Linked DNA regions of Saccharomyces cerevisiae S288C. The gene in region 2 interacts genetically with the main gene of each other region. Each region holds a gene or a part of one and is shown on either strand. Other genes may lie near its edges. The genes, in order: IME2, RIM4, RSM7 and MSS2.

Region 1 (6,242 bases), on a different chromosome or scaffold from region 2:
AATGTGCAAGAATAAAGGTATCTCAATGAACGAGCTCGAGCGTCAAGAGACGGGTATAAGCGAAGAAGCGCAATGCCGCCAGCCAAGCAAAGCCAAACGAAGAGATCGACCTTCCATGGGGTCGCAACTTTTCCCGGTGACCTCTACATGTGTGATTGTTAGTTCAGCGTAACAGAGTTTCAACAACATGCATATACGAGTGTGCCTTCGTGCCTGATTTTGGTTGATTATCCGGCTTCCAACCTCGTTAAATTTTCATAAAGTGCATATCGTGTAATGTAAAAAGTAAAAAGATAAAAAAGACTCATATGAAATCTTGCTGCATGGAGACAAGTGCACTCGAATTCTTTACTTATATTTTCGCTCTTGAGCTCGTCCTTTTACTAGCATATCAATATCCGTTTCATTGAAAAGTGGCCTTAGAAACGCGGACACATTAGTCTCGTATGTCGGCTCTCGCCTACTTCTTGCCTATTGTTTCAGTGCCTTTAAACCTTATTTCCCTTCCCTCGCGTGCCATTCGGCGATCTCGATTTTCCGCAAGGGGCCTCAAACGACCGACATCAAAAACCAAAACAAAGGCCAAGCACATCGTTTAGAGAAGAAATTTTGGGGGTAATATGTTTTAACGATGCCATATATGCACCAACTTCTAGGGGAAAGAATGCTTTTGACTATCTCTCCTTCCTTGCATATAGGCCAGATTTTTCCTTGGATTGTGCTGTATTACTATTGGCTCCAAGGAACCTCACAGTGAGCTTTTCCAAACCGAAAGATTTCTCTTGCGATTTCTTCGTATGCAGTAATAGGGTTTTTTGAGAATATACCGGGCATAATGTTGCAGTTATCAACTATCGCACATACAGTAGTAACAGTTCTGGTTGTCCTAGCATTAATGCCGTTTTAATTTTCTGCAGAGTATTGCCTGTGGACAACAGTAACTTATACGAATAAACATACCAAGTTAGGATCTGAGCCGGGTAACCGAACACAAAGATCTCGTTCTACTTTTTTTGACCTCTTGATGAGTTGCTTAACAAAATCAGTAGCCGCCAAGAGCAAGAAATCATAAAATGTTCAAGAAAAACAAACATAAAAATATATTGGAGGGGAATAAACGCAAAGTAATGTCTAATAAGTTAAATTAAAGCCATCGAAAAAGCACTGTATTAATAGAGCAGTAGCTATTTAGGTGAATGCATAGTAATATAATATATATGCGAACATATGTATGTCTATGTGTATATAACTATATAACTGTGCCTAACGATTCGTCAGTCAAATGACAAATTATTAGAAGGTTACATTTCCAAAATGTTGGTTTGAATTGGATAGATGAGGCTCGAACTTTTCCCGTGATTTTTTTAATGTAGGTATCAAGAAATTTCTTGGAGTAAAATCTGGCATTGAATTAAACGAATCGCCTAAAGAGGCATCACCCAAAACATTATCACCTCTATGATGTGACCTATCTGTATGTGTGTAATTTGAGTTGTTCACATATGGTAGAACGATGTCTTCATCAATATCTGCATGTTCATTAAATGGTTGTTTTCTCTGAAACTCATCCTTTTCAGGAATTTCCAGGTCAAAAAATAGCTGTTCCATGTTGTCTGCTTCATCTTTATTTATAATTTCAATATCATTTGTCAACTGCCTAATATTCGATAATGAATGATCTAAGACTTCTTCATCTGGTAGTTGACAAAGGGCCAAATTATTACGAATTTCTTTTGATAATTCAGTCTCATCAATAGAATCTGAAATGGTAGAATCTGTTCCAACATCAGGTATTGAGTGATCATCATTATCTTCTTCAACGAATTCGTTTAAAAATTCTACCAAAGTTAGTTTTTCTTGATTTAATGTTGGTGAGCACATAGCATGAGAATCGTGATCGTTGTTGCTGATATCAATATCATTAGACTCTGTTTCTGCGGGCAATTTTGTTGAAGAGTTAAAATATATGGGCTTTGTGTTGGTCGCTACTGGATTTATACCTGCAAAAATCAATGCTTGTTCTGTATTAGTCACATTGCCTCTTGCGTCTACTTGGGATGCCACGGTGTTTTCAAAAAATGGCATTTCACAAAGCTCTTGGGCTGTTGCCCTTTCATTAGGATCCCATCTTAAACACTTTTTGACAACCTCAGATAAATCGGATAGTTGGGAGCTAGAAAGTAGATGATCCAACGATGAACCTTCTACATAAGGCAATTTCAAGTTTAATTTATGGACCAAATTACTGGCATCATCCCAAAATCCACCAGGTGGTGGAGCTGTGATGTGGTTTGTATTAACAAAATCAGAACGTTTGATAGGTGTACCAAGAACTTCTAAAATTTTCCATATCTGATCGATTTCGTTAGCACCGGGGAAGAGAGCTCTGAATACAGTAACTTCCACCGCCACGCACCCGAATGCCCAAATATCCAAAGGTTTGGAATAGTAACCACTTCTTAATAATATTTCAGGCGATCTATACCATCTTGTGGAAACGTAGGCCGTATACGGGTTTTTATTTTCAACATGGCGTGCCAAACCAAAATCTGCAAGTTTAATGACATAGTTATCTTGATATCCAATCTGGTTCATGTACTCCTTTTCAAAATACTGGGTACTTGGTGTGATAAGAATATTTTCAGGTTTTAAATCTCTGTGGAAGAAATTATGTTCGTGGATGTGTTTTAACCCAGCCAGTATCTGCGATAGAATAGATTTCAAAGAAGGAATCGAAAAAACTCGGCGCCTTCTATGTTTCATCATTTGATATAGGTTTTGCTCCATACATTCCATTACGATATGTAATTGGTAATTTTCAGAGTCAATAAAGACCTCAAAAATTTGTATCAGATGGTCATTCGCTGGGATTGCCAGTATGAACTTAATTTCTCTGACCCTCGTATAATCCTGGAGTGTATGCAGTTTTGTCATCATTGTCTTTATAGCCACTACACCTTGTGTCTTTGTTATATAGTTTTGGTGACCATTTTTAGGCTGATCCATTAAAGTACCCCTTATATCATGTTGTTTACCCAATATGTTCGATAAAGGAAATTGCGCTTTGGCTAAAGTTACACAACCAAATGATCCTGCACCTAGTTTTTCGATCAGCTGATATCTGTCTGATAAAGTCTTCAAAGGGATAGAAAGTGGCGGGTTATCGACATCAGGTGGAACACTGAACTCTGAGCCACTACTGGAACTCTGTCTACTACGTTTTTCAACCATAAATGACCTATTAAGTTAAGCTTAGTACTCTTCTTTTATTACGTCTGTATCACGTTCCTTTTCAATGAATATTTAAGAACACGATTAACTTTTCTGATAAGCCTGGTAAATAAATACAGGTTTATATTCTCTAGACAGCCACCTTAACCGACTGGAGTGTCCTTTATATCTTTACCCAAAAAATAAAACTTTTAGGAGAAGGGGTAACAAACTGAAAAGGGAAAGGGTAAAGTAAAGGTAACTGTAAACTATTTTGAAAGATAGATCTTGTAACTTCTTTCTCGTTGAGTGATATTGGAAAATAAAAATGAAATGAATGTGTGAAGACAGAAGAAGTTATTCAGGAAAAGAAAATGGACAGACCGGTGAGTTGCTACCTTAATATATCTATTTGATTACACACATTACTTCTTTACCTCTTTGCAACCAGCACTTGTCTGTGGCTTTTTGCCGCCGAAGTCTCGCGCCTTTTCCCTGTTGAATTGCATTTAAGACACAAGGCTGACATTTATTAATGATAGAGATTTCCACAAAAACTCAAATAGCCGCCGTAACATAAATTATTGGACAACCGGAGAAAAGGATATTTTAAGGCACCAGCGGGTAATACATCTTTATTTCTCCAAGTTTAAAAAGCGTATTTGGAAAAGCTGTGCCACTCAGATTTTTGTGAGAGTTTTCTTTTTCTACTTACCATGAGTGCGGAGTCTTGGTGAAACAGCTACTGAGAGAATAGGTATCTGGGTTACCAGTGTAGTTAGCTACAACATGTTCGAAATGCATGGTAGAGTCTGGGTTTCGTTCCCTTTGGCTTGTTAAGGCCGAAGATTGCTTTGGTCTGGATGGGCGGAGCCCAAATTTTATTGTTGAACTATTTTTAGATTAAGAAAAACAGCGCCAAATTTTACCCGGCTTATGGCTCCTCCCTTGGTACTCCCATTTTTATGACGTAGCAGTTGTCCCGCTTGTTTCAACTCCTCGAGAAAAGTGGGGCATTGGGTTTATCTGTCACAGTACCACCAGCACGCCGAATGGACCCTCTTTGTCTTAGCCCGACGTCTCCGTAATCAGCGCGCCATTCGTGTTTCTAGTGTCCTTTGACTATTTTCATCCGAAAAATATCGAAGCAAAGCCATCGCCAAAAATTGCGAACCCAATATGACGAAATTCGGAAGAATCTTGAAAAAGAAATAAACCGAATTGCATATTAATATATAACTATGTTTTACGTTTGTTTTAAGCCTACTATATCTGAGAACGTAGCTAAATAAATCTTATATAACACTTACTTACTTACTTAGCGGTGTGCGACTTTTATCTTTTAGATATAGAATAACAAAAGAAAAAAGATCGAATAACCGATAGGCTATACAATGGACGGTAGAAATGAAAAACCAACCACTCCTGTGTCAGATTTTCGGGTGGGAAGCTCCGAGCAAAGTCAAGCGGGAGTGAATCTTGAAGATAGTAGTGACCATCGCACTTCCAATTCAGCCGAGAGCAAAAAAGGCAATTTAAGTGGTAAAAGCATCAGTGATCTAGGTATTTCTAATAATGATAACAAAAATGTAAGATTCACTGCTGATACGGATGCTCTAGAAAATGATTTGTCTTCAAGATCTACAGAAACCAGCGATAATTCTAAGGGCACAGATGGACAAGATGAAGAAGATAGGCCTGCTCGCCACAAGAGGAAGCCTAAAGTTTCTTTCACACATTTAAGGAACAATGGTAAGGATGGAGACGATGAGACGTTCATCAAGAAGATAATAAATAACCTGACTGGAAATCAAGGGGGTTTGGTCCCTGGCTTGGCACCAATACCTTCAGAAAATGAAAATGGGAAGAATGATATAGAAAAAAATAACCGTAATGAAGAAATTCCCTTATCCGATCTAGCTGATGCGTCTAAAATCGTAGACGTTCATGAGGGCGACGATAAAGAAAAACTGGAGGCTCTCAAATTAGAAGGTGACGTAAATTGTACGTCGGATGGCGAAACGTTAGGCTCAAGTTCAAAAAATTCATTTCTGGCTCCTGCAGTGGATCATTTTGATGATTATGCAGAAAACAATTCATCCGACGATAACGAAGGGTTTATTGAAACCTCCACATACGTACCCCCTCCATCTCAAGTGAAAAGTGGAGTACTAGGGTCATTATTGAAACTTTACCAAAATGAAGATCAAAATTCAAGCTCAATCTTTTCAGATTCACAAGCTGTAACAACAGATGATGAAGGTATTTCTTCTACTGCTGGAAACAAAGACGTACCAGTTGCCAAGCGTAGCAGATTACAAAATTTAAAAGGCAAGGCTAAAAAAGGCAGAATGCCTAGACTGAAGAAAAGACTAAAAACTGAAGCGAAAATTACGGTTCACATTGCAGACATTTTACAAAGACACCGGTTCATCCTACGCATGTGTAGAGCTCTTATGATGTATGGTGCTCCGACGCATAGGCTTGAAGAATATATGGTTATGACTTCTAGAGTCCTTGAAATAGATGGTCAGTTTTGTATCTTCCAGGTTGTATGATTGTTTCATTTGGTGATGCAACAACAAGAACTTCCGAAGTTCAATTGGTTAGGTGTACTCAAGGTCTAAACCTTTGGAAGCTGCATCAAGTTCATGCCGTTTACAAAAGAGTTGTCCATGATACCTTAGGTGCCGATGAAGGTAATGCTTTACTCGATCAAATTTTGGCTGACACGAATCTATATCCACCTTGGATGTGTGTTCTTTTATATGCATTTTGTTCCGCTATGGTCACTCCGTATGCCTTTGGTGGCGATTGGGTAAACCTGGCAATCTCATTTTTTATGGGGCTTTGTGTGGGGTCATTACAATTTATTCTTTCACAAAAGTCATACATGTATTCAAACGTCTTCGAAATTTCTGCATCTATTGTCGTTAGCTTCTGCGGTAGAGCTTTTGGCTCTATCCCTCGTTCTCACATCTGCTTTGGTGCAGTTACACAAGGCTCATTGGCATTAATCCTGCCAGGTTATA
Region 2 (6,143 bases):
CATGACGAGAGCGACACGATATCGTTCCGATCCAACCTTTTGAAGAACTTTATAAGCTCGAACGACGCATTTAACATGCTGAGTTTGACCACGGTACCGTGCGACAGAATTGAGAAGTCCAGATTGTTCAGTGAAAAAACAATAAGATATCTCATGCAAAAACAACACGAAATGAAAACACAAGCGGCAGAGTTGCAAGAAAAGCCTCTGACGCCACTTAAATACACAAAACTTATAGCTGCGGCAGAGGACGGAAGCCGTAGCACAAAGGATATGATAGATGCTGTCTTCGAGCAAGATAGTCATTTGAGGTACCAGCCGGACGGCGTGGTCGTACATCGTGACGATCCTGCGCTGGTGGGTAAACTCCGCGGAGATCTCCGCGAAGCGCCGGCGGACTACTGGACGCATGCTTATAGGGATGTTTTGGCGCAATACCACGAGGCCAAGGAGCGTATCAGGCAGAAGGAAGTAACTGCAGGTGAAGCACAGGACGAAGCCAGCTTGCAGCAGCAACAGCAGCAAGATTTGCAGCAACAGCAACAAGTAGTGACTACAGTTGCCTCGCAAAGTCCTCATGCAACTGCAACGGAAAAGGAGCCAGTACCCGCCGTGGTTGACGACCCACTGGAGAACATGTTCGGAGATTATTCCAATGAGCCGTTCAACACCAATTTCGACGATGAATTTGGAGATCTTGATGCTGTATTTTTTTAATAGCCATGGGCGGCTACTTCTTGGAAATATATACTTTCCTTTTACATATTTAGTATAGTTATACATGTGGATGTGTATGGAGGTAAGATCAGATAGACCCTTCACTGTTTTCTGTGTATTCCTTGTGACATAGTGGATTTGTGCAGCTACTGCTTATAGGAAGCAGTGCCTGCAAAACAATTCATTCGTTGGTTGATGTGGCGCGCTGACTGAATGTGTAGGGTCTGTTGTTACCCCCTTGCTCCGGGGGCCCACATCTCTCTGACGCGAAGAAAGGCTCGAGATGTGCCAGTCGTAAACACCGCCTCATTTCCCTTGCATTCTCCTCCAGTGAAAAAGCAGTACGACCTATCTCCGAAAAAAAAAAACCTCCTGTGCGTTTACTGTGGATCATGCAACACGATTTCTGTAGATTAAAGACGTTTTTGGCATGGACTAAGCTAAATTCCGTTTGATTAGCCGCCCATAACGGGTGGCAAACAACACGATGAAACTCTATATCCCCGCTTAACGTTTCGGCGGCTGTGATCAAGGAAAATAGTATATAAGTTCGTCGGATTTCTTATTTGTTTTCTCTCTTCCTTTCTCTCTCCCTTTCTCGTGCTTGGTTGTTTTCCTTAATTAGTTAAAACAATAAAAGAACAAGAAGGAGAAGGCGATTTTGGACTAGAAAATCACGAAGAAAAAATATCTAATTGCATTCCTATATATATTTATATACATACTCTCTATTGTTTGTTTTTTGCCTGCTCAAGAAGAAAGAAAGAAAAAAATATTATCTTTTTTAGCTTGTTGAAACATGAAAACCGAAATCAGCACTGCGGATTCCCTTCGTGATCCTCCCTCTAATGGTCTAAAGGCCGACTCTGAGCTGGTTATCAGAGAGGATATAGACCAATTTTTGCCTTCGGAAGTATCTTCGTTGGGGTCAGATCACCAGAATGATGGTGAGGATTCAGACACTGACAGTGACAACTTTTTGCAAGACCCTGAAGACGATGTGGATGAAGAAAGCACTGGTAGAGGTACAGTCACTACCACTTCCACATCCACTGAGTCAAGAGGCCGTCCATCTTCTTGTATCTTCGTGGCAAGCTTAGCAGCAGCCCTATCCGATGACGAATTATGTCTGTCGGTGACTGAAAATTTCAAAAAATACGGTGATTTGGCTAGAGTTAAAGTTTTGCGTGATAACGCAAATAGACCTTATGCTTTTGTTCAATACAACAACGATCATGATGCTAAACATGCTCTGATCCGCGCTCAGGGTACTTTATTAAATGGCAGAAGGTTGCGTTGTGAACCTGCAAAAGTGAACAGGACATTGTACTTGAAAAACCAGCAAAGTATTGATTTCAACGAGATCAGTCAAATTTGTGAAAAATTTGGTGGTTTGGAACAGATTGTTCCTGATAGAACTGATAATCAATACACGAGAAGATATACTTATCCGATATCTTCGGCAAATTCTTGGTTTGTTCAATTCGTTTACAGAGACGATGCAATCAGAGCTTATGCGAATTTACGAACTGATCCCAATTGGATCATCGAATGGGCACAAAATATAAACGTCCCAAAAAATTATAACCTTTTACACAAAAGCAAATTCAAAAGTTCCAAATACCATCAAAACAACGGTATTATCAATAACGATGGTAGTAACAACAACGATAATAATAATAGTAATAATAATAATAGAGAGGATTCAAGGAGGAATGGCGACGTTATAGAAGAGGAGTGCGGACATGTGCATGGTAGTGATTCAGAGGAAAAATTGACAAGCGATGGTATTTATGACGACGAAGATAAAGATTCCGAGATCACCATTGATAAAAGATCCATTTTCGTGGGTCAATTAGACAAAGAAACCACCAGAGAGGAATTGAATAGAAGATTTTCCACTCATGGTAAAATCCAAGATATTAATTTAATCTTCAAGCCAACAAACATATTTGCGTTTATTAAATATGAAACCGAAGAAGCTGCTGCTGCTGCTTTGGAAAGTGAAAACCATGCAATTTTTTTGAATAAGACAATGCATGTTCAATATAAAGAGGTAGGTGGTCGTCACAACAGGAAGTTCTCTGGTAAGAACGGTGGCAGCAACTTTAACCATCATCAGTTTTTTAGCACCAGATCGGGCAAAACATTTACAGGGCCAGAACTGAACTTAGCACCACCACCAATCAACATGTACAGGAAAATGAGCGGCGGATCCCAGCAGGAAAGCGAAACTATGATGCCATACATGCCCATGGGGCCCATGCCCATGGGGCCTCCACCACCAAATGCAGCAAGTCTCAGTGATTTTGATATGTTCCCCCCAAGTTACTCCACGTTTATGAAGGGAATGATGCCATTGAGGCGTAAATCTATGCCCAATTCTTGGTCATCCCCTTCTTCAAAGAGTGTGAACTCTGAAAATGAAAGTGTTAATGGTGGTGATGAGAATTCCGAATTGCCTTCCGAAATTCCTGAATCATCTGGTAGATATAATGCTGCTAATTCCTTTACCACATATAATAATTCCTCAGCAGGAAACTCTAACAACAACAACAACAACAACAACAGTAACAGTAATAAGTCTCAATATAAAAAGCGCTATGCAAGGAGGTCAAGCTACGGATACAATGAAGTACCTCCAAAACCATACTATTTCCAGCCTTATTACTATCACCCCATGCAATACCATATGGGCCCAATGGGCCCATTGCATCCTTCTCAAGGTTCTGCTGGAAATCACCATCCATATATGATGGTTTATCCCATGTCACCACCTCCGCCTTCTGGGTTAGATGGAAGCATGATCCCTCCTCCAATAAATGTAAGCCAATCACATGCTGCTAATCATGGCAGTACCCATGTTCATGCGAACGAATTCATATCAAACGATACTGGTGACATAAATGAAGATAACAAAGCTTATAGTTTAGATTACTAAAAATGATTGGTCGTAAAAGCTGCAAAAGATGTATGTAATTCAGCGGTGATGTTAACTTTAAAAGTGCAGTTTCGTTTTCTTTTTCGTCTCCCTATTTTTTTCTCTGGATCTTTTTTTTTTTTTTCACTTGGTATTGTTTTCATCCTTCTTTCCTTCTTTTACCTTCTTTGTCTCCTAATATAACAATACATACTTTCGAGTTTTGATTACAAGTCACTCGAAATGTTTTTTTCCTTTTATATATTCTTCCTTTTGTCTATTCTTATATACACATATTTTAATTTTTGGTAGATTTTTTTTTTTTTACTTACATTTTGTTACAATAGAGAGATTTACCAATGGTGTATCTCGATTAAATACTTATCTAGAGCATTGAGCAATTTCTTTAGGTCATGTCTGCTAATTTCCTCTTTGATGATAACCAATTCCATGGGGACCTTTCCATTGAAGTACTTGAGCAACTTGTTAAAAAGAATCTGGATATCTGAAGGCTGACCATAAATACATCTATAAAGCCATCTTTTTTCAATCGCAGTGGCTCTTTCAGGTTCCAAAATTATAGTATAGTCATGTTGCATTTCTGGATCATCGTATTCGAAGTGTAGTATTTCTTCTTCATCCGCAATAGCTATTTCATTGTCATCACGATCATCAACACGACTATCATTTTCGTTATCTTTTTCGTCCACATCTTTGTTGTTGTCGTTGGACTGCATGCCTTCATTCTTTCCTGAACACGCTTCGCTGGCGTTTGCATCTCTACTTTGCCCATCTTCATCATCCAGCTTTTTATCAGTTTTTTTGTAGTCCATGCTGGGCCTTCTAGCAGTATTAGTCTTACGGAAGCCTTCCTTTTCTAGATCCTCATCTACTGCCATTTTTATGTGTTTGTCCACTCGGATATTTATGAAAGTCAATAATTGGGTTACATACCCGTACTGTATTAACCACGCTAACGCGTTCAGGTAAACTGGCTTATGTTCCCTTGATGGGATTATGTTACTGTACGCTTGAGGTTTGTCCGTGGACAACAAACTTAAAAAAATGGGTAAACTGGGCAATGATGGGAATTTGGATCTGAACAACATCGAATTTTGATAAATTAGTGGTACTCTGTCGCTTCCACTCTTATTATTTTCGCGATCGTCCATTTTTTTCACGTTCCCATCATTTTGTGAAGTACTTTTATAATCATCTATTGTATAACCTTGAATAGGAGCCAAGGGTGAAACAATATACGTGTATTTGGAGCTTAGTGGGATCACTATTCTTGCATGTCTCCAATACATTAAATGCAATGCGCAAGAGCGCAGTATGCTTGATTCCAATGAGTTTGTTTCTGTAGTAAGGTCGTCCAGTGAAGAAGGGTTATCTAATAAATCAGTTATCAGATAGCGATACGACCTTAGAGGGATATTTGGCTGGATATTTCTGACTAAATGTTTCAATATGATAGTGCCAATATCGTCCTGGTATGAAAAAGTTTCGAGGGAGCTAATAATATTATTTGGCTCGTCCAATAATAATAGCGCATAGTTTAAAAGGTCATCATTGTCGTCGCAGTAGTAATTGCTTTCATTGTCGTCCCCGTCATCCACATTTGCTGCTCCACAGTGGCCGGTACTATTAATATTATTGCCAAACCTGTATATGTTATTATTGGTATCACTGAATTGAGCCTGATCGTTTTGACGATTTTGACTTTCAATTCTCAATGATGATTTTTCTAAAAATTTCATGTTCAAAATGGACGTCAAATATGAGCCTCTTAGCACGGGTTGCAGTTTGAAGTTTGGCATTTTTTCAAACTCGTTTTGAATCGGGATTTGCAAGGAAATTACTTTATCGTCATTGATCTCAAGACATGCGATTTCATTTCGTTGGATTTTATCAACACATTCCGTTAGCGCCCTAGCCAACGAAGATTTGGCTAAAATTCTTTGGTACAGATACTTCCCCTTGTTTCCTGCGCCTCTTATAGATTGGTATGTTTTCGAATGTTTCAGTACCCGTTCTTTTTCCTTTAAAATTATATGGCATTCGCTAGAAATGTACGAGGTTTTTGATTGCACATATCTTAACAATAATGATAACCTTGTAACAACAAACTGATACATGTCATCAATCCTTTTATTATATTCGATTAAATGCGGATTCATAACAAAGCATACATGAAACATGTTCATATTTTTGCCCAAGTCTTCCTTTTCTCTCTCAAATTCGTTTCCACTGACATCAGTATTTATCCTCAAATTCGGCGTATCAGTAGAAGCCTCATGACCAATATTACTGTCATAAACAGTGTCAGCTTCACCACTATTAACTTTCTTCAAAGTATTCTCACTCAGTGATGAAATTTTGGAAGCGATAGATTTCTTTCTACTGATGTTTGTTGTAGTACTCGAAGATCTTTTAGAGCGGGTTTTATTTTTGTGCTTGGATTTTCTCCATCTGCCTTGAGAATCTACATGAATAGGTAAGCCTA
Region 3 (2,793 bases), on a different chromosome or scaffold from region 2:
AGGCGAAAAGCGAGGCGACATACTTCTTTTCACATCAACTCGAACAGAGAAAAAAGTAGACATAGAAAGAACCCAAAGACCACAAGAGCAAACAATGGTACAGCTGAGAAGAACGTATGTATATATGTTCGTGGTAAGCTCGTTGGTATGCACGTATCTTAGGCATCACTACCAACAAAGTGTTTCAAGCGATCACGTCGACTAACGACAAAGTTGCTCACTTTGTCGTGTTCATGTGGGAGTCGTGGCTGTTTGTAAAGATGTTTGCTGAGGACATCGTGACTTTCCGCAAGCTACAGGCCAACAAGTACGTGTTAGGGGTGCTGATCTGTTCATTATGCGCAAGTGTAACGAGTGAATTCGCCCAAAGCGTGGTTTCGCGGGGACAAAGGGTGTTCGATGTGAAGGATATTATTTGTAATTTCTGGGGCAGTCTGCTTGGTGTGGGCATTGCCTTCTACCAGGACCGATAAAAAGAGATTATACGGAAAATCATATAAATGTGTTTATGTACAGGCAAGTTTACGTAGACTAGATTACTTTAATTGAATATATGCTCTGTGAGCAATGGCTGTCTTGTGAATCTGGTCCCTCTTTTCAAAGGCAGACGAAGTGCCTTTGGCAATGGCAGTGAGTTCTTCTCCCAAACGCACGGCGAAGTCGCTCGACACTCTTTGGTTTGCGCTTTGTACGATCCAGTTCCACGCGATCCTATTTCTTTGCCTCTTGTTCAGAGGCACAGGAATGACAGAAGCCTTGGCCACGCCTGTGTTGAATGTCTTGGTCATCATCAGCGGAGCTAGTTCGTCGAGTGACTTTTCCAAAGCCTGGATGGGGTCCTGCCGGGTCTGGCAGTACACCAGATATAAGGCCCTGGACAGAATGGTTTGTGCCTTTTCCTTCTTACCGTGGCGCATGATCATGTTTGTGATGTGATCCAGCGTTGCGTTCTTGCGTGGAGGAATGGGCACGGACTTCAGTGCCTCCCATTGTGCCAACTGCTCTGCAGTTGGCTTTATCTTGGAGCCCGCCTGTGAACCCTGTAAGAGGTCTACTTTGGACTGGCCCGGTGGAGCCAGCGAGGTCTCTGGCAGGTATTCTTTTGCAGAGAACTCTTCCCTTAGCTCGTTGATCGCTTCAAGCCACTCGTCGACCCCTTTCTCTGCCGATGGTTCGCTAGCTGGTGTTCGTACTGACGACTGGAAACGAGCAACACATGTCCCACTTTGCCACAGGAGACGTGGCCTGACTAACATATACCTCCTCGCACAATGCAGCATTATATTCACCTCAGATCCGTATCTATCTATTTTTCTTCTGAAAACGATAGCTGCTGTCTTTTCTGTACGTGTATAATGTGCATTGTATGTAGTAAGCTATTTCTCAAGCAAATGTAGATTGGAGCCAAGACGAACATTTAAAGCCGTATAGAACTACTTTGTTTCTTCTTCAGATGATCATTTCTCATATATGGTCACGTGGCTCGATGTTTATCGCTTTATCTTTTTTTTTTTTTTTTTTTTTGCTTTTCATTTTGGCTCTGCTCTCTGTATTAGCTCATCATTTAACGCAAATGACCACGAGACAATAAACCGACGAGGAATGTGCTCATATGTCTCGCCAATACCTCTAAATAATTGACCGCGCGATTATTTAGTGTGACCAGAGCAAAGTAGCTTTGCGTCCGACCATGCAACCATGGATATACTCAAAAATGGCAATAGTGTGCCCCTAATACGTTTGCTGGCCAGTATCCCTTTCTGAAATAAGCTAAACCCTTGCAACCACCAGGGGTGCCGCCGTCCTAACTTTCCAGCCTGGCAGCGCGTCGAGTCGCCGAATGTTGCGGGCGCTGCCCCGCCCGCAACACCGCGCCCGCCCTGCCTCAGCTTAACCGAAACCACACGGGTCTGCCATCTTCCATATACCCTGGCTCTTCTTTCACAATGCCCGCTCACAACGCCAACTGCAAAAGAAGCCCGCCCTTAGTCGGTTTTCCCCACTTTGATATAACCCCCCCCCCCCCCCCCCCGCATCAACTGGTAATTTAACCCAAACACCACGGGGTCATAATTTAAAAGCGAAAAACCTTAAAGCGTTCTCGAAGAAATCTTCCTGTAGATGATGTCGTAGCAAACTTATCTTTTAGAGTGTTTGTGCTTACTGCATTGTCAGATCAAAATTTACGTAGCCGCCCTTTTCAACCCCTGTCGAAGAGTAGCATAACAGCAGCGTAGTGAACGTGCATGTTCACAAATACACGTACAATATTAATATACAATAGTAAGGTGATGAACACACACACACACACACACACACACACACACACACACATATATATATATACAGGAGATCAAGTTAGTGTGAGGGGACGACTACTGAGTTTGAAGTTCTTTAAAGTGTTAAAGTTATTTTTCCCCTCTCCCACCTCGTTGGCAACCTCTCACCCACCGCTTAGCAGCATGTCTCCGTACATGACCATACCTCAGCAATACTTATACATAAGCAAGATACGTTCCAAGCTGTCTCAGTGCGCCCTTACTCGACACCACCACAGAGAACTTGATCTACGAAAAATGGTGGGCCACGCCAATATGCTGGACAGGATCCTCGACGAAATAGACGAAATCGACAGCGAGGTAGTACTGTGTGACGCTGCCGATGGTTCTTCTACTGCAGAAGCTCATTCCGCTTCCCCAGCATCCAGCGACTCTTCTCCTCTCACTAATAACATCCGGCCCATTAGCATTATGTGATTAGCATGCATTTTCCCCTTTTCCTTTCTTAAGAACA
Region 4 (5,258 bases), on a different chromosome or scaffold from region 2:
AATTGCAAGTCAATCCCGGGATGACGTCAAGATAGACAGTCAATCTGTCACAGAGGAATGCTTGCTAATCCAGGAGCTGGCGAGCTGGCTAGCTGTGGAGACTATTCCACCATGGTACACACTAGGATCCTCGATCTTGGTGAGCCATGAGTAGAACTTGTTTGGTTCCACCCCTCCGGTTGCCATGTTTATATCTTCCTCAGCAAACTGTTTATCTTGCATTGGTGAGGCGATTGGGTCATCTCTTTGGAAATGGGCGGTAACAAGGTGGTCAACCACCGGCCAGCCGTAAGCGTTGGAAAACCTTCTTCTTACGATGATGTTATTGTGGGCATCTGGTTTCAGCAATACCACGACTTTCCTCCAATGCATCCCCTTGTGCCAGCGGCGTGCTATGATTTCCTCCATCTCTTTTCTCGTCTTCCTCGTTTCGCCTTCCTTGGCTGCTGTTCCTTCATAAAGTGTTGGTGATGGAGGCGGTAAATTCTTTTCTGTGTAGATCTTATCATGTATGATTGTTGCGACCCTTGCATCGGGATCTGAGAAGAACTTTGCGTCGGGGCATGGTGATAGAAGCACAGACTTCATAGATTTGATGACGGAAGCATTCATCAAGCGTTTAGATTTCTTGTCGCAGTTATTTTCCTTGCTCTTCCAAAACGTGTTCCATGACGATGCATTGATTCCATCATCATCATTAGCAACATCGCTATGATTTGGAAGTTCCCCAATAGGACTTACTTCAGGCTGGAAGAGAGGATCACAAGGTGCCGTAGTTTGACCTCCCAGTTTCTGAAGTAATTGAGAGTAGTCCAAAAAAAGTAAAGAAGAGGAGTACAAGGGAACTATTCCGTCGTTGACGGCATTAGCATAAAGTGTTCTTCTTTTGAATCGAGCAAGCACACTGATTAAGGATTCCTCGGATAGCAGGTAAAGTAGGGGCTTATCACCATAATTTCCATCCTTAAGACCCAGTTCTTGCCCCGTAGTACCAATGATACCCATCGACAATGACATTTTTACGTAATTGGGCGTGCTGGTAGCAATGCCTAGCAATGGTGACGCCAGTGAGATAAAATTGATTGGCTCCACTTTCTTAAAGAAATATGGATATTTGGTCTTTATGTAACAAATAGCAAAAGTTTGTGTTAATCCACCCAGGGAATGACCAATAAATGAAATTTTCCCAACAGAGTCATCATATAACTCGTCGATGATGTAGTTTGCCAATCCAACACCCAAAAACTTAATACCCTTCTCAGTCTCACAAGCATTCTTCATATATCCCTTAATAACTAGTCGCTCATTTGGATTGTTCATTTGAGCCTTGTATATTTCTTCCATTAAGTATTCCATATCTGCCGAAACGTTTGATTGAAAACCATGCGTGAGAATGACTAAATGGGATTTTTGCGACATGTCTATGGGTCGTGGTACTTTCCATATATCTGCGGTGGTAAGTCTATGCACCGATAATCCTGTGTGTAAAATATTGCAGGCTTTATCAGGCAATGAATCATTACATCGTATTTTTCTTTTCAAAGAGGCCTTTGAATTGCCGACTACTATCTCAAAAGTTACCTTAGTTTCTTTATTAAATAGTATTTGACTGACAATATCCACTATCCATACATAGCGTGGCTTAATGTGGTGCAAGGACAACTCTGCAATAAACTTTTGTTGTGCCTGTAGGTTTGATTGAAATACTGGTTTATCCGCCGAACATATGATCTTATACGAGCTTTCGTAATCTTTTGCTCGCACGTCACAATATAAGATAAATGGGCCCAATAGATAGGCTGGTTTATAGGATAGCTTTGTGGTATTTTTGATCTTTACCCATAGGGAATCCAGTGTGATATCAGCGGGAATACTATCACCCTGGTATAGCTCATATGTAATAACGTATCTTTCTAACTCACCTAACTTTACTGACGACTGATTGTGGTATAGCACTTCATCAGCACTCCTGCCAGCTTCCATATTACTACCGTTTCCCCGATGTTTTTGGGTGAATAAGGTCAGGTGAGCATTTTTTGTACTGATATTTTTTCTCTTTGTTTGCAGACACAACGCTTGCTGTTAATACGCTAAAAACATACCACACTACCTTGAACAAATCCTCCAAGAGAAATTTGTAAGAATTCAGAAGCGGTTTCAGGGGAAGTCGGCTTAGTTGTCAATTGTAATTGAAAATCACCCTCTAATTTGAAAGATTTTCAGTTTCAATAAGACATCAATCTTGCCAGTTTGTAATTTTTTGGTATATAGAAATGGTCTTCAAGCATAAGCCTTAAGAAAGATTCGTCCATTGGATGAACCTACAATTTTTTTTGTGTTATGATGTGAAGCTTCATTTGAAGCATTGTGCAGAGAATATTACAAGTAGATTCAAAAAACACATTGAAAAAAAATACAAGTGAAATCACAGTTACTTAAAAGTCATCAAAAAAAATATTCCCGGCCTCAGAGCGAACATATGAAAGTGAATATGGAGTACACAAAGGGTATGTGGGGGTTATATATTGTCGTCTTTCTTTTAACATTCAATAATGATACTAACGTTGATTAATGATGATTCATCGCAGAAAAGAAAGTTGGTGAGGGTACTTATGCGGTTGTTTACTTGGGTTGTCAACACTCTACTGGAAGAAAGATTGCTATTAAGGAGATCAAAACATCCGAATTTAAAGATGGTTTAGATATGTCAGCTATCCGTGAAGTTAAGTACCTCCAAGAAATGCAGCATCCGAACGTCATAGAACTAATAGACATATTTATGGCTTATGATAATTTAAATCTCGTTCTGGAGTTCCTACCAACTGATCTAGAGGTGGTAATAAAAGACAAATCAATACTGTTTACACCAGCAGATATTAAGGCATGGATGCTTATGACTTTGAGGGGCGTGTATCATTGCCACAGAAATTTCATTTTGCACAGGGATCTGAAACCAAACAATTTATTATTTTCACCTGATGGCCAGATAAAAGTAGCAGATTTCGGTCTAGCAAGGGCGATACCGGCCCCACATGAGATACTGACAAGTAACGTCGTAACAAGATGGTATAGAGCGCCAGAATTGTTGTTTGGAGCTAAACATTACACATCGGCTATTGATATCTGGTCAGTAGGCGTTATATTCGCGGAATTAATGCTAAGGATACCTTATTTACCAGGACAGAATGATGTCGATCAAATGGAAGTAACGTTCAGGGCCTTAGGGACACCTACAGATAGAGATTGGCCCGAAGTTTCTTCCTTTATGACGTATAACAAGTTACAAATATATCCGCCCCCTTCAAGAGATGAATTGAGGAAAAGGTTCATTGCTGCTAGCGAATACGCCTTAGATTTTATGTGTGGAATGCTAACGATGAACCCACAAAAGAGGTGGACCGCTGTTCAGTGTTTAGAAAGTGATTATTTCAAAGAATTACCACCACCAAGTGACCCGTCTTCAATAAAAATACGTAACTGATATGATTTTATAAAATTTGTAGAATCTGTGTTATTGACATTAGATGTATCCTCAACATATACAAATAAACTTCTTGATGCGTCTTGTTTTTTGGTGTTGAATTTTAACTCTTTTCCATCATTATGGAATTCGTTTTTAGATTTTAACAACAACAATATGAGGGGAGACAAACAGTAGCAGACGAAAACGAAAACAAAAGCAAGAAATATCTGATCTAAAATATGCAGAGGTTTGTCAGTAAGTTTGTTTCCACACCACCAGTACCCAAAAAGTTTCAAGAGATTTTCCCGAAGAAACGTACGGTTAACAAAATTTTATTCCAGTTAGATACAAGGCTTACATACCATGAAATGTACCCGATATTTCTGCAGGTATCACAAAATACTAATGAAGAGAATATCCCATGGAGGAAGAAATACCCCTATATAAGGAGTTCAGACATTATGCAGATGCGAAACGTCTTGATAACTCTAAGGACGCAGAACAAATTCGTCCACAAAGACTTATTAGCTATGGAGGATAAATTATTGAATATTGCTGCCGAACTTGGCAACAACGATGCTATATCCATCCTAAGCTTCAACGTGATACATGAATATAAAAAGGAAAACGTCAAATCCAGTTATGAAAAAGACATTGAAACGGCTAATGAATTCATAAAGAAGCTGTATGCGCGTAACCATCATTTAACGGTTAAATTAATAGGGGACCTGTTTTTCGAAAACAAAACTTACGATAAGGCTGAGAAATATTACCAAGAGTTCTTGAAATTGGAAAATAGTACCAAATTGGCAGGCGAAGTTCACGGAAAACTTGGGGAAATCCAAATAAAGCAAGTCAATGGTTTTTTGAAGGCAGAAAAGTCATGGCTGAGTTGTATAGAACTGCTGGAAATTGAAAGAAGTTCACGTTGGTACTTTCTGTTAGCGAGGTTATATATGAGTTCAGAGCCCATGAAAGCCAAAGCCTTGCTAGAAAATTGTGCATCAATTGGATTTAAAGAATGCTTTAAAACATTAGGATTTCTTGAATTAAACTATTTCAATAATTATGAAAGGGCGAAAGAATGGTTCAAAACGGGTATGGAAATAATGGACTTGGAATGTTTCTTTGGATTTTTCGATTGCTGTGTGAAAGAAGAGAATTTTAAAGGTGCACGAGATTGCCTAGAAAGCGTAAAAAAGCTAGGGAATGATAAAGACAAGAAAACAATGATAAATGTCTTTCTTGAAAGTAGAAAAGATTCCATAAAGTTGCTGGACAAAGCACGGCTTTAAATGTCTGATCGATTCTTTTTGCGATTTATATAAGGACACATGTCTCCACCTATAACGCGAGCTTGTAAATATCTATATACCCATCTGATAATGTTCAAAAAAGTCAGCTAAGTAAGTAAAATAATAAGGACAATAAAATTAAAATGTCATACAATGTTACCTATGAAATAATTAGGAAATACTGTTAGAGTAATATTTAGAGTTGAAAATGCAATCGCAAAAAAAAAAAAACAGAATTATTTTCATCATATCCATCTATGCTCGTCAGTTAGTTCGTTAGTGTTCTTCAAAAAATCTGGAGTATTTGGGAGTTCACTATCAGTCGGTAAAGACAACAAATGATCATTTGGATTTGCAACAATATCAGCATCGTTGGATAAATGTTCTTGCGCTAGATGATTCTCCTCATTATTAGCATTATGATTGTTATTGCTGTTGACGGTAGTATCCAGTAAATTGAGCGTATCATCCTTGCTAGCTTGACGTCCATTATTAGAGCC

The links.
Region 1: of RIM4 (region 2) and IME2, changing one suppresses a phenotype caused by changing the other (phenotypic suppression), as found in Saccharomyces cerevisiae (2 studies listed by BioGRID).
Region 3: mutations in RIM4 (region 2) and RSM7 together harm fitness more than expected from each alone (negative genetic interaction), as found in Saccharomyces cerevisiae (2 studies listed by BioGRID).
Region 4: mutations in RIM4 (region 2) and MSS2 together harm fitness more than expected from each alone (negative genetic interaction), as found in Saccharomyces cerevisiae (2 studies listed by BioGRID).

The regions. Positions count from the first base shown.
Region 1 is NC_001142.9:218,379-224,620, reverse strand, and holds IME2 (protein kinase IME2), read right to left. Parts: upstream 3,232-6,242; coding exon 1,294-3,231; downstream 1-1,293. Other genes in the region: YJL107C (uncharacterized protein), read left to right, coding at 4,605-5,768; pheromone-regulated protein PRM10, read left to right, coding at 5,765-6,242. UniProt on the Saccharomyces cerevisiae protein: Protein kinase which is essential for the initiation of meiosis and sporulation.
Region 2 is NC_001140.6:55,133-61,275, forward strand, and holds RIM4 (Rim4p), read left to right. Parts: upstream 1-1,516; coding exon 1,517-3,658; downstream 3,659-6,143. Other genes in the region: SNF6 (Snf6p), read left to right, coding at 1-717; NPR3 (Npr3p), read right to left, coding at 3,991-6,143. UniProt on the Saccharomyces cerevisiae protein: Positive regulator of sporulation-specific genes and of sporulation. Required for premeiotic DNA synthesis and meiotic chromosomal segregation. May act in a nutritional signaling pathway.
Region 3 is NC_001142.9:637,696-640,488, forward strand, and holds RSM7 (mitochondrial 37S ribosomal protein uS7m RSM7), read right to left. Parts: upstream 1,281-2,793; coding exon 537-1,280; downstream 1-536. Other genes in the region: YJR112W-A (uncharacterized protein), read left to right, coding at 95-114, 164-473; YJR115W (uncharacterized protein), read left to right, coding at 2,247-2,756.
Region 4 is NC_001136.10:265,219-270,476, forward strand, and holds MSS2 (Mss2p), read left to right. Parts: upstream 1-3,702; coding exon 3,703-4,758; downstream 4,759-5,258. Other genes in the region: YDL109C (putative lipase), read right to left, coding at 40-1,983; TFIIH complex serine/threonine-protein kinase subunit KIN28, read left to right, coding at 2,480-2,507, 2,589-3,481; PHO2 (Pho2p), read right to left, coding at 5,004-5,258. UniProt on the Saccharomyces cerevisiae protein: Required to stabilize mitochondrial cytochrome C oxidase subunit 2 (COX2) and to translocate the C-terminal domain of COX2 through the inner membrane.